Ovis aries: one gene and its partner. The protein of the gene in region 1 purifies or fractionates together with the protein of each later gene. This does not show direct contact. Links are inferred from orthologs where the notes say so. Each region holds a gene or a part of one and is shown in the gene's direction. Other genes may lie near its edges.

The links. The genes of interacting proteins can lie anywhere in the genome.
Region 2: the proteins of ALYREF (region 1) and C1QBP purify together in Homo sapiens (affinity purification with mass spectrometry; 3 studies listed by BioGRID and IntAct, with this or other methods). This does not show direct contact. The link is inferred for Ovis aries from reciprocal best matches to the Homo sapiens genes ALYREF and C1QBP.

What each region holds. Positions count from the first base shown.
Region 1 is NC_056064.1:50,497,453-50,503,205, forward strand, and holds ALYREF (THO complex subunit 4), read left to right. Parts: upstream 1-1,927; 5' UTR 1,928-1,959; coding exon 1,960-2,196; intron 2,197-2,676; coding exon 2,677-2,808; intron 2,809-4,303; coding exon 4,304-4,451; intron 4,452-5,002; coding exon 5,003-5,066; intron 5,067-5,167; coding exon 5,168-5,345; intron 5,346-5,438; coding exon 5,439-5,453; 3' UTR 5,454-5,749; downstream 5,750-5,753. Other genes in the region: ANAPC11 (anaphase-promoting complex subunit 11), read right to left, coding at 1,083-1,191. UniProt on the Homo sapiens protein: Functions as an mRNA export adapter; component of the transcription/export (TREX) complex which is thought to couple mRNA transcription, processing and nuclear export, and specifically associates with spliced mRNA and not with unspliced pre-mRNA.
Region 2 is NC_056064.1:25,997,432-26,003,218, forward strand, and holds the start of C1QBP (complement component 1 Q subcomponent-binding protein, mitochondrial), read left to right. Parts: upstream 1-1,963; 5' UTR 1,964-2,064; coding exon 2,065-2,287; intron 2,288-2,902; coding exon 2,903-3,053; intron 3,054-5,226; coding exon 5,227-5,323; intron 5,324-5,787.

The sequences.
Region 1 (5,753 bases):
GTTCACTTGTGTCTGACTAAAAACTAAATTCACTGGTGCAAAAATCTCCTTTTGACCCAAATACTTTCGCTTCACAGAACACACTGGGGACAAAGGAACAATGCAAAAGACACCGCAAAGATGAAATCTGATAAAACCTGAGGTCAGGCATTTTGCAAGACAACATGTTCTGAAAGAAATCAGATGTCTACGGGGAATTCCCTGGTGGTCCAGTGGTTAAGAATCTGCCCTCCAATGCAGGGGATGTGGGTTTGATCCCTGGTCTAGGAACTAAAATCCCACATGATACAAGACAACTGAGCCCATGCAACACAACTGGAGAGAAGCCTGCTCAATGCAATGAAGGTCCCTAAGCAGCCAAAAATAAATAAAGAAAAATAAAAACAAATAATTTGATGTCTAAAACGCGATAGAGAAGTTGAAGCAAAACTATTCTAGATTAAGTAGTGAAGGGAAAAAGTGATCACACCTTGGGTCTTGGCTCACACCACCCAACAATAAAAAGACATTTGAGGACAACTAAAGAAACCTGAACAAGGACTAGGAATGACCGGCAACAGTAAGGCAGTATATTGTCTAAAGTGACAACAGTGCTGGTAAAAGTCAGCACTGATATAGGACATCACATTTAGCATTTGCTGCGGCTTCCCTGGTGGCTCAGTGATAAGGAACCCGCCTGACAATGCAGCAGATATTTAGCATTTACCTTAAAACAGCTGGGCAAAAACAGCCAGATATGAAAACGTGTTATTCATCATTTATGTGCTGGATTGAGGGGGAAACCTTGTAACGTCACAATTTTTTGTTGACTTGAAATTTTCAAATACAATGTCTTAACACATTTTTGTGTTCCACGGGTCTCATAGTGACTTTTATCAGGATAGGAAACTGTGCTCTTTTCCTTACAAAACTTTTGACGGGATCTTTGTACAAATATGGGCCCAAATAGCCTGGCTTTTCTCTGTCAACTTTTCTTGGGAAGAGGAAACCAAACCCCAGAAACGCTCTGCGAGTACTTCTGGGGACACGCCAAGGCCAGATGATAGGCACAGCTCGAGAGACAGCGGGCAGGGGACACTCACAGTCCGGGCAGCAGCCATTGAAGGCCATCCGGCAGATGCCGCAGTTCTCGTCGTTGGCTACCCAGAGCCAAGTGGCCACGCCGTTCCAGCATTTGATCTTCACCTTCATGGCGCGAGGAGCCTGCGAGGAGGGAAGAGACCACCCGGCTGTGCTGAGTCTGCAGAGCTACGGCACCTGGAAGCCAAAGAAGGGGCGTCGCCCCGAGGGTCGAGCGTAGGCAACAGTGGCCGCCGAAAGGCAGTAAGAGGCTGTCTGCAAGGGGACTGGGGCGGGGGCCGGGTCCTCGGGAAGACCGGGAGGACCGGTGTTGGTCCTTCGCCAACACCGCACTTCTGCCTCGGCGTCCGCAGAAGGGCTCGTCGGCTTTCTTTAACAACCGCAGAAACGCGCCGTGCGCTACTTCCGAAAGGGCTGACGGGGCTGAGAGATGGAGACCCAAGCCCGCTCCCTACGAGGTCACCCCGGAAACAACCCTGGCGCGGGCCGCACTCACTCCCGCCGCTGGACTAGGGTGCGGGTTCCCGGTGCGGTGGGGGAGGGGCGAGGGAGAGGCGCCACGCTCGGCCACGCCCCCAACGGCCGCGCCCCCGCCGATCTAATCGCGCGCCGCACCACCCGCCTTCAGTTGGCAGTGCCGGCCCCGCGCGGGAAGGTATATAAACGCCTGTGGCCGCGGCTCGGCACTTCTCAGAGGCGCCCGCCGAGCTCCTTGGTTCAGCGCGCACGCGCGACCTCGCCCCCTGAGACGCCGAAGGCCCGCAGCCAATCCGCGGTCGCTCTGAGGACGCGGCACCGGAAAACCCGCGAGCGGCGCTGGAAGTGACGCGCCGACGTGCTGACGCGCGGGCTCGAGCCGAGGCCGATTCCGCGCCCGCCATGGCCGACAAAATGGATATGTCTCTGGACGACATCATTAAGCTGAACCGGAGCCAGCGAGGCGGCCGCGGCGGGGGCAGGGGCCGCGGCCGGGCCGGCTCCCAGGGTGGCCGCGGCGGCGGAGCCCAGGCCGCCGCGCGAGTGAACCGAGGCGGCGGACCCATTCGGAATCGGCCGGCCATCGCCCGCGGCGCGGCGGGCGGCGGCGGCAGGAACCGGCCGGCGCCCTACAGCAGGGTGAGTGTGGAGACCGGGTGGCGGGCCGCGGCGAGGGAGCGAACCGGCAGGGCGGCGCACGGGCGACCGGCGGGCCGTCCGGGCGGCCGACCGACTGACCGACTGGGCCGGGGGGCGCGGGCGCCGGCCGGTTCGGCGGGCGGGAAGGTCGCTCGCCTGCCGGGCACCAAGGCGGAGACCCTGGCGGCCTTTGTCTTAACAGGGCGCCCGGCCTCACGGCGCTGGGGGCTGAGGGGCCGTTGGCGCGGCCGCCCCGGTGGCGGGAAGTTGGTTGAAGGGAACCGAGAAGTTGCGGGACGTGTGGCCGCGGCGGCCGGGTACGGCCTGACGCGGGCGTGAAGCGGAGGCTGCGGGTCTCTCTCAGCGCCTGCCTCCCCGCCGAGATGGGGGGAGGCTCTTGCTGTGGCCGTGAGGGCGAGGGCGAGCCCTGGAGTGAGACTCACAGACCTTTTTCTGTTCTTGTGTTTTCTTTTCCCTCAGCCGAAACAACTTCCTGACAAATGGCAGCATGACCTTTTCGATAGCGGTTTTGGGGGTGGTGCCGGCGTGGAGACCGGTGGGAAACTGCTGGTGTCAAATCTGGATTTTGGAGTGTCCGACGCTGATATTCAGGTAAGGGACTGGAGTTTCTTGGTGGGCGGGTCACTCCGCACGGAATCGGTTGTGGCGTTTGGGACTTGGCCCAGAATCCCCCACACGCACACCTTGGGACGACAAGCTCTCCCAGGCACCGAAAGGCCAGCCACTGTTCCCTGTGATGGGCTCCAGGAATGCAGAGCAGAGGTTGAGCTAGAGTTGAAAGCCTGACCAATGTGTCAGTTTGTGCTGGAAGACAAGGCCCCAGCTTAGTCTGGGGCGCTGCTGTTCTTCCTTGCTAAAACGTGTTTTGTAGATGAAGGCACTCTGCCCAAGCTCTTCTGGCAGAAGCTTGGTTGACTGTGCTCCGATTCTGTTCCTGGAAGAGCTAGGCTACTTGTTTTCTTTACGTTTTGCTTGTTTTAATGGTTTGTTGGGAGGAGAAAGCACTTCCTTTGTAGAACTGACATAGCACAGAGCAGGATGGTGCCAGCGCCGCTCTGGCTCCATTTGCCTTAAGCCCCATGTCTTACTTGGAATTTCATCCCCTGTCTTCTCACTTACCCTCACCCCCTGGGTTTTGTTAGTGACATGATTCTCAAACATCTTTGGTTGAAGCCTCTTTTTTTTTGCCTCTCTTTCCTCCCCTTTTTCTTTTTTTCCTTTTCTTTCTTTCTTTTTTTTTTTCGGTTGAACCCTAAAGGCCTTTAAATTTGCTGCCTAAAATGGTTAAGTAATGACATCTTGGGGGTCAGTCCAGGAGATGGCTGGGCAGGGTACTGGGCCTTCCTGGGTTCAATTTCCCAGAGCCCAGCCATTTACTTTGCCTTGGGAGGACAGAGCAAGGCCAGTGAGCACTCACAGTGTCTCAACACTTTTTTTAAGGTGGTTTCTGGCATCCACTGGAAACCGCTTTTGGTGAACTCCACTTCCCGCTGTGTGCCTGCGGCCGGAGTAGCCCCACACTCTGGGTTCCCTCTCCAACTCCCAGCCTGCCTGAGGTCAGGGCAGTTTCCATGGCAGCGCTTGACTTCAGGCTTTGCGGCAGGCTTGAGTAGGAGGAGAGGGAAAGGTGAGCCAGAATCTGCCCTGGGGGAGGGGCTGGGTCAGGGCTCCCAGTCAGAGGGCCCTTGGAGCTGGTCCACAAGTGGATAGAGCCCCTTGCTCTGTGATCTTGGCCTTGGCTGCTTCTTGGCACAGTCCTTGGGTGTGTTGTAAATATTCCTTTGTTGAAGAAGATAGCAACTAAATCTTTGCCCTTCATTGGTGGGCTTTGTGATCCTTCACCTGCATCGTGGTATAGATGTCAGGTTCCCAAGTGGGCAGGAGCCCTCGGGCCCAGCTGCTCCGGGAAATTGCTGTCCCACCTGTCCCATCCCATACCCCAGGTCCCACCGCCACTTCCCTGCCCCACCACGTGTATGTCTTCCTCCCAGGGAAATACCCCAAAGCAGTTTACACTTCCAGGGAGTGTCCCTGGGCCACCAGAAGAAAAATTGCTGTGCTAACAACTGCTCTTTCTGACTCTCAGGAGCTCTTTGCTGAATTTGGAACTCTGAAGAAGGCGGCTGTGCACTACGACCGATCTGGCCGCAGTTTAGGAACAGCTGACGTGCACTTTGAGCGGAAGGCAGATGCACTAAAAGCTATGAAACAGTACAACGGCGTTCCTTTGGATGGTGCGTTTGGGATTGGACCCAGAAAGGCTGCAGCGCTGTAGCTAGTTTGCGGAGCCAGAGGCTGGCCCCATCCCTGCAAGAGTAGGGTCCCCTCTGCTTGAGGACACTTTGTGTTCGCCCCTTTGTCTCTCTTCCACACTGCCACCTCTCATGCTGCCCCCCACATCTGGACCAACCTCTTGTGAATCCCCATCCAGCAAGCTACGTCCCTCCCCTCCTTCAGCTCCTTCCGGAAGATTCACTTCTGTGAAGCCTTCTCAGAACCACCATAGTACAACTCTTGAGTGCGGGGCTGTAGTCGTAAAGACAAAGGTACCTTTCTGCTCCTGGGCACCCTGGACGCCCGACAGACACCCACCTGCACTGGATGAGAAGGAGCGAGGAGGCGCTGGTGGGGCTGTTCTCCCACCAGCATTTCCAGGCTGTCCTCTCGTCGGGAGCAACAAGATGCAGTGTCCCTTTCCAGTGCTTGCATGGAGGCCAGGGTGCTACCCCTAGCAGGCTTCAGAGTCCTCTAATAGGACCTGGCCCTCTTGTGTTCTCTGCCATAGGCCGCCCCATGAACATTCAGCTCGTCACCTCACAGATTGACACGCAGCGGAGACCTGCACAGAGGTGAGTTCCGGGGCCTCTCTAGTCAGGGCTGGCCTGTGGGGGTGTCTCCTCATGCTGCAGGTCTTCCCAGGCATGTGAGCAAAGTCTCCTTTTCTTGCTAGTGTAAACAGAGGTGGGATGACTAGAAACCGTGGTTCAGGAGGTTTCGGTGGTGGCGGCGGCACCCGGAGAGGCACCCGTGGAGGCAGCCGGGGCAGAGGCAGAGGCACCGGCAGGAGTTCAAAGCAGCAGCTTTCCGCAGAAGAATTAGATGCCCAGCTGGATGCTTATAATGCAAGAGTAAGTCACAGAGGAGGGCTGGGTGAGGGTCAGTCCCAGACCAACTGGAGGAGGGCCTCATTTTGAGTGAGCACCTCTCTTCCTCTGTTTCAGATGGACACCAGTTAAACAGACCAGCAAATCCGTGCATGGACCAGGACCCAGAAGTCTCGTCCGTGCTCCCTGGCGGGAGGGGGTGACAGACTGGGGCTGTGTGGCCAATGATGGATTTGTTTCTTTTATGTTTTAAAATAGGATTTAAGATTCATGTAAAGGTTTCTTTTCCTTTTTTTTTTTTTTTTTTTTAAATTCTGAAACAGACCTGTTTTGTACTGAGTTATTTTTGGGATAACTTTTACTGGTTGTTGTTGTGGAGAAGGTGGCATTTTCACCTTTGCCATAATAAAATAGAAATGTGTGTAGAACTGG
Region 2 (5,787 bases), about 25 Mb from region 1:
GTAAGGGGCAGCTGCCAGGTAAACGAGCAATGCCAGGAGGTTTCTGCTGAGAAAAGAATGAAGTACAGGGACCCGGTCACAGAGGCATGAGTTCTGGTTTTTCAGGGAAGAGGAGGAAGAGCCAGGAAGGCCTTTCATGGGAGATGACCTCAGAGGCTGGTTTTGGGAGTCAAAGACAGCAAGAGTGCATTCCACGAAGTCACAGAAAGCCTGGTCATGCTTGAGAACAGTAGATGGAAGTTTGGAGAGAAGCCAATTAAACAGCAGTCCTGGGACACCAGACTCAGAGCCACTCAGCTAAAGAAGTTTCATTTCAGTTGCTCAGTCATGTTTGACTCTTTGCGACCCCATGGACGCACGGCAGGCTTCCCTGTCCATCGCCAACTCCCAAAGCTTACTCAAACTCATGTCCATCAAGTCAGTGATGCCATCCAACCATCTCATCCTCTGTCATCTCATCCCCTTCTCCTCCTGCCTTCAGTCTTTCCCAGCGTCAGGGTCTTTTCCAATGAAAAGAACTCTGCATCAAGTGGCCAGAGTATTGGAGTTTCAGCTTCAGCATCAGTCCTTCCAATGAATATTCAGGACTGATTTCCTTTAGGATGGACTGGTTTGATCTTGCAGTCCAAAGGACTCTCAAGAGTCTTCTCCAACACCACAGTTTAAAAGCATCAATTCTTCGGCACTCACCTTTCTTTATAGTCCAACTCTCACATCCATACATGACTACTGGAAAAACCATAGCTTTGACTAGATGGACCTTTGTAGGCAAAGCAATGTCTCTGTTTTTTAACATGCTATCTAGATTGGTCATAGTTTTTCTTCCAAGAAGCAAACGTCTTTTAATTTCATGGCTGCAGTCACCATCTGCAGTGATTTTGGAGCCCAAGAAGATAAAGTCTCACTGTTTCCATTGTTTCCCCATCTATTTGCCATGAAGTGATGGGACCAGATGCCATGATCTTTGTTTTCTGAATGTTGAGTTTTAAGGCAAATTTTTCACTCTCCTTTCCACTTTCATCAAGAGGCTCTTTAGTTCTTCACCTTCTGCCATAAGGGTGGTGTCATCTGCATATCTGAGGTTATTGATATTTCTCCTGGCAATCTTGATTCCAGCTTGTGCTTCATCCAGCCCGCATTTCGCACGATGTACTCTGCATAGAAGTTAAATAAGCAGGGTGACAATATACAGCCTTGACTTACTCCTTTCCCAATTTGGAACAAGTCTGTTGTTCCATGTCCAGGTCTAACTGTTGCTTCTTGACCTGCATACAGATTTCTCAGAGACAGGTAAGGTGGTCTGGTATTCCCATCTCTCAGAATTTTCCACAGTTTGTTGTGATCCACATAGTCAAAGGCTTTGGTGTAGTCAATAAAGCAAAAGTAGATGTTTTTCTGGAACTCTCTTGCTTTTTCCATGATCCAGCGGATGTTGGCAATTTGATCTCTGGTTCCTCTGCCTTTTCTAAATCCAGCTTGAACATCTGGAAGTTCATAGTTCACATACTGTTGAAGCCTGGCTTGGAGAATTTTGAGCATTCCTTTGCTAGCGTGTGAGGTGAGTGCAGTTGTGCAGTAGTTTGAACATTCTTTGGGACTGGAATGAAAACAGCTTTTCCAGTCCGGTGGCCACTGCTGAGTTTTCCAAATTTGCTAGCATATTGAGTGCAGCACTTTCATAGCATCATCTTTCAGGATTTGAAATTCCATCCCCTCCACTAGCTTTGTTCGTAGTGATGCTTCCTAAGGCCCACTTGATTTCCCATTTCAGGATTCCTAAACTTCTTTAGTTCCTGAAGATTCCTGTTGCTGCAGAACTAAAGTTTAGGAATCAGATTCCAAGCCTCCCTGGGAGGCTACACCGGAGGCCACCAGCAGAGGGCAGGGTCCTGCCCACTGTGCCTTCTGGTCTGCAAGGCGGCGGCGCGGAAGCACTTCCCGGCTGTGGGGCGGGACTTCCGGCGGCGGTCCCAGATCTAGGGGGCGCAGCGGCAAGGAGTTGTCCTTCTAAGCGAGAGTTGTATTTCGAATCTGCACGTGTTCGCCACCGCCTCCGCTGCCAAAATGTTCCAGCTGCTGCGCTGCGTGCCCCGCGTCCTGGGTTCTGCCGTCGCTGGTCTCCGCGCCGCCGCACCCTCCCTGCCGCTTCTGCAGCCCGCGTCCCGGCCATGCGCCCGGCCCTTCGGGCTGCTGAGCGTGCGCGCGGGGTCGGTTCAGCTGCCCGGCCTCCTGAAGCCTCGGGGGCCCTGCGCTTGCGGCTGCGGCTGTAGCGGACTGCACACCGAAGGTGAGACTCATGCACGTGGGCCGGGGGCGTGAGGGGCGTGGGCCTAGGTGGGGCGGGGTGTTAGGGGCTGGGAGGTGTAGACCACCTGAATGGACAGTCCGGAGCCGCTCCTGAGGTCCGGAACATTCTCCCAGTGATGGTCGACCTGCTAGTTAAACCCACGCGTAGTAACATTTCCCGTCCTCCCCCACCCCTGTTTGACTGCGGGGATAGATACTGTAAAGTCCTGGAGGCCGGCTTTACCTCAGTCTCTCGAAAATGGAACTTTGCGAAAGCCCAAGGTCGCGGTTAGAAGTAGCGTGATGTTTCTTGGCAAGTGAAAGGGTAGTGGCGATTTTTTTTTTTTTTTTTTTTGCTTTATTTTGAAACGTCGTGAGAAGTTCATTATTCGGGATCACTTTCCTAGAATCCATGCTCAGCTTCCCACTGATAGCTTACATTTTTACAGATGAAGGAATTGAGGTTTAATGGATATGAGTTGGGCTAAGTCCACAGAGCCACCATTAATAGAAGTATTAGGAAAAAACAGGCTAAGTCCTGGTCTTTGCTTGTAGTAACGGGGTCATTTTCCATTTTAGACTAATTGGCTCTTTCTGTAACTTATTTCCATTGTAGGAGACAAAGCTTTCGTTGACTTCCTCAGCGATGAGATCAAGGAGGAAAAGAAGATACAGAAATATAAGTCTCTCCCCAAAATGTCAGGAGGTTGGGAATTGGAAGTGAATGGGACGGAAGCCAAATTAGTGCGGAAAGTTGCTGGAGAAAAGTAAGTACCAGGGGCCTATGGAGCCCAGGGGACCACATCCATAAACCTGCAGGACCTGCTGTGAGGTATCCACAACAACTTTTAGTTAAGACAGGTGCTTAACTGACTCCTGGTTTCCCAGAGATGGTATGATTCGTTTGGATAACTTCTTAGGCTCCTTTTTGCTTATTCACTGCACAGTAATGTGCTGTGGTGGTTAACAAGGAGACAGTAAGCTAGTAGCGGGGTTCCCCAGTGGCTTGGCGTCCAGAACCCACCTGCCAAAGGAGGAGGTGTGAGTCTGAAATGGCAACCCACTCCAGTATTCTTGACTGGAAAATCCAATGGACAGAGGAGCCTGGCAGGGAGTCCATGGGGTTGCAGAGTCAGACACGACTGAGTGCCTGAACATCACCCCAGTAGCACTGAAGCCAAGCCACTGGGAGTCTTCTGGACCAGTAGAGGCAGCAGTCACTGAGCCCTTCCTGGTGAGTGAGGCTGTGCCTTGCCCACAACTAGGCATGCAAATTCAGAGATTCCGGCACTGCCCACAGAATCGGATTTACTCTGCTGGGTCTACTACCCTCAGGCTCTGGCTGAGGAAAATAAAGCCCCTGTTCTGTTTACAGTTGAGAAAGCAAGATAATTAACAGGGTGGGGTTGCAGTATAGTTTTTCATTAGAAAAGAGGGATGCTTTTGGCCTGCTTAAGCTGTTTTAAATCCACGGTCCACTTTGAAGTTTTGCATGCGCTGTGAAGCAGCAGGCTGGTGCTTTTGCCTAGTATTGTAGTGCTTTCCCCGTCATAGATCAATTGTGTGGTCTGTAACGTGACCCAAACCACTCTCCTAGGCGAAGTTATAGGCAGTTTGGGACCATTATAATGTGCTGCTGAACATAGCTGCATTTCTCTGTCCAGGGGTCAGTTTGGTCCACACTGTCACAGCTTAGACAGATTTTGTGCCTGTACATCAAACTTCTGTCTGTCAAGGTGCCAGTTACCATGGCTTCAGAGGGCAGCGTTGTCTGCAACCTAGCAGTGCTCGTTCCAAGTGTCACTCAATTTTCAGTTCAAATTTTGGAATATGATATGTCAGGTGAAGATTCTTGCAAGTTAAAATTGTCATTAGGTGGTGTTTGTGGCCTGCCTTGTCATTTATTAAACTTCCTACATCTGCTCTGAAGAATAAAACTGTCCAGCAGCATATTCTTTTTTTTTTTTTGCCACACTGCTTGTGGGAATCTTAGTTCCCTGACCGGGGATCAAACCCAGGCCATGGCAGTGAACACACCAAGTCCTAACCCCTGGCCCACCAGAGAACTCCTCTATGTGGTGTCCTTTGTGAGGCCTCCCCTTCCTGGGGCCAGGGCTACTCTCCATCCTCAGCTGATGCCACAACCCTCCGGTGCTCCTTCTCTTCCTCTCAGGCAGATTTTCTTCTAATGGAGGAAGATTTTTAAAGGAGGCTCCTGGGACTTAGTGGTGGTCCAGTGGTTAAACCTCTCCTCTCCCAGTGCAGGGGACCTGGGTTCAATCCCCGATCAGGGAACTAAAATACCACACATAGCAACAAAGGTCACATGCACCTCGCAACCAAGACCCAGCCCAGCCAAGTACATTTTATTTTCTTAAAGGAGGCTTTTGGAACTTTGTGGTGGTCAAAGTGTCTGCTCCCAGCGCAGAGGACCTGGGTTCAATCCCTGGTCAGGGAACTAAGATCTCGCATGTAGCAACTGAGCGATCCCATACATAACAATGGTCATGCGTACCTCGCAACCAAGACCCTGTGCAGCCAAGTACATTTATTGTTTTAGAGGAGGCTTCTAGCCCATGCCCACAGCTTCTCAGCTGCTCACCACCACTGGGAGGTGCCCTGGAAAGACAAGAGTGGCGGTGTCAGCTGACTGTGGCTATAAGGTTGACAGAGAGCCCCGGATAGTGGCCTGATGGCAGAAGCACCAACACACAACTGTATTTGGCTGAGGAAATAGTGCCTAATTGACTTCCAGCAGCCAACACATAGTAGGCCCACTTCAGACCTGCTGAATCCAACTGTGGATGGGATGCAGGCAAATCAGATGTAAAGCCGGCTGAGATACATTGTTTCAACAGCATTTTTAACTGTAGCAAGCCGTAGTACTCAGCTACTCAGTTAAAAAGACATCTTCATTGTGCTCTTTGGTTGCCTTTCTAGGATCACTGTCACTTTCAACATTAACAATAGCATCCCACCTGCTTTCGGTGGTGAGGAGGAAGAACCCTCCCAAGGGCAGAAGGCTGAGGAGCAGGAGGTAAGTTTCTAACACTGTAACCAGCCTGTACCCACCTATTTCTGACAGGCTTAGGGAAGGAGCATTGGTTTTTGTTTTGTTTAAATTCTAACGCCAGGAGAGAGGGCAAAGGCAGCCATCCTTGGGCCTTTACTTGCAGAGCACCAGAACTGTGTGGCCACTTTTCTTTCCCAGGGGCCAAGTGTTAATGAATTGTTTTCTGTGGGCTTAAGCGTTATAGTTTGGCCGGTGTTCACCTAACAGGAAGGAATTTAAACTGTCTTAACCCTTCTCATGATCAGGAGATAAATCATTTGGAGTGTTCCACATGAGGAATACATGTCCCGAGTTGGTAATAAACACCAGCCAGGGGCATCAGAGACTTTGGCAAGGCCTCTCCTTAAGTTGCTGCCCTTCTTGGTTGGACCTGGATGGTGTTTAGTCCTCGAACATTTTAGGAAGCTTTGTGCCTGGCCTAGAAACCA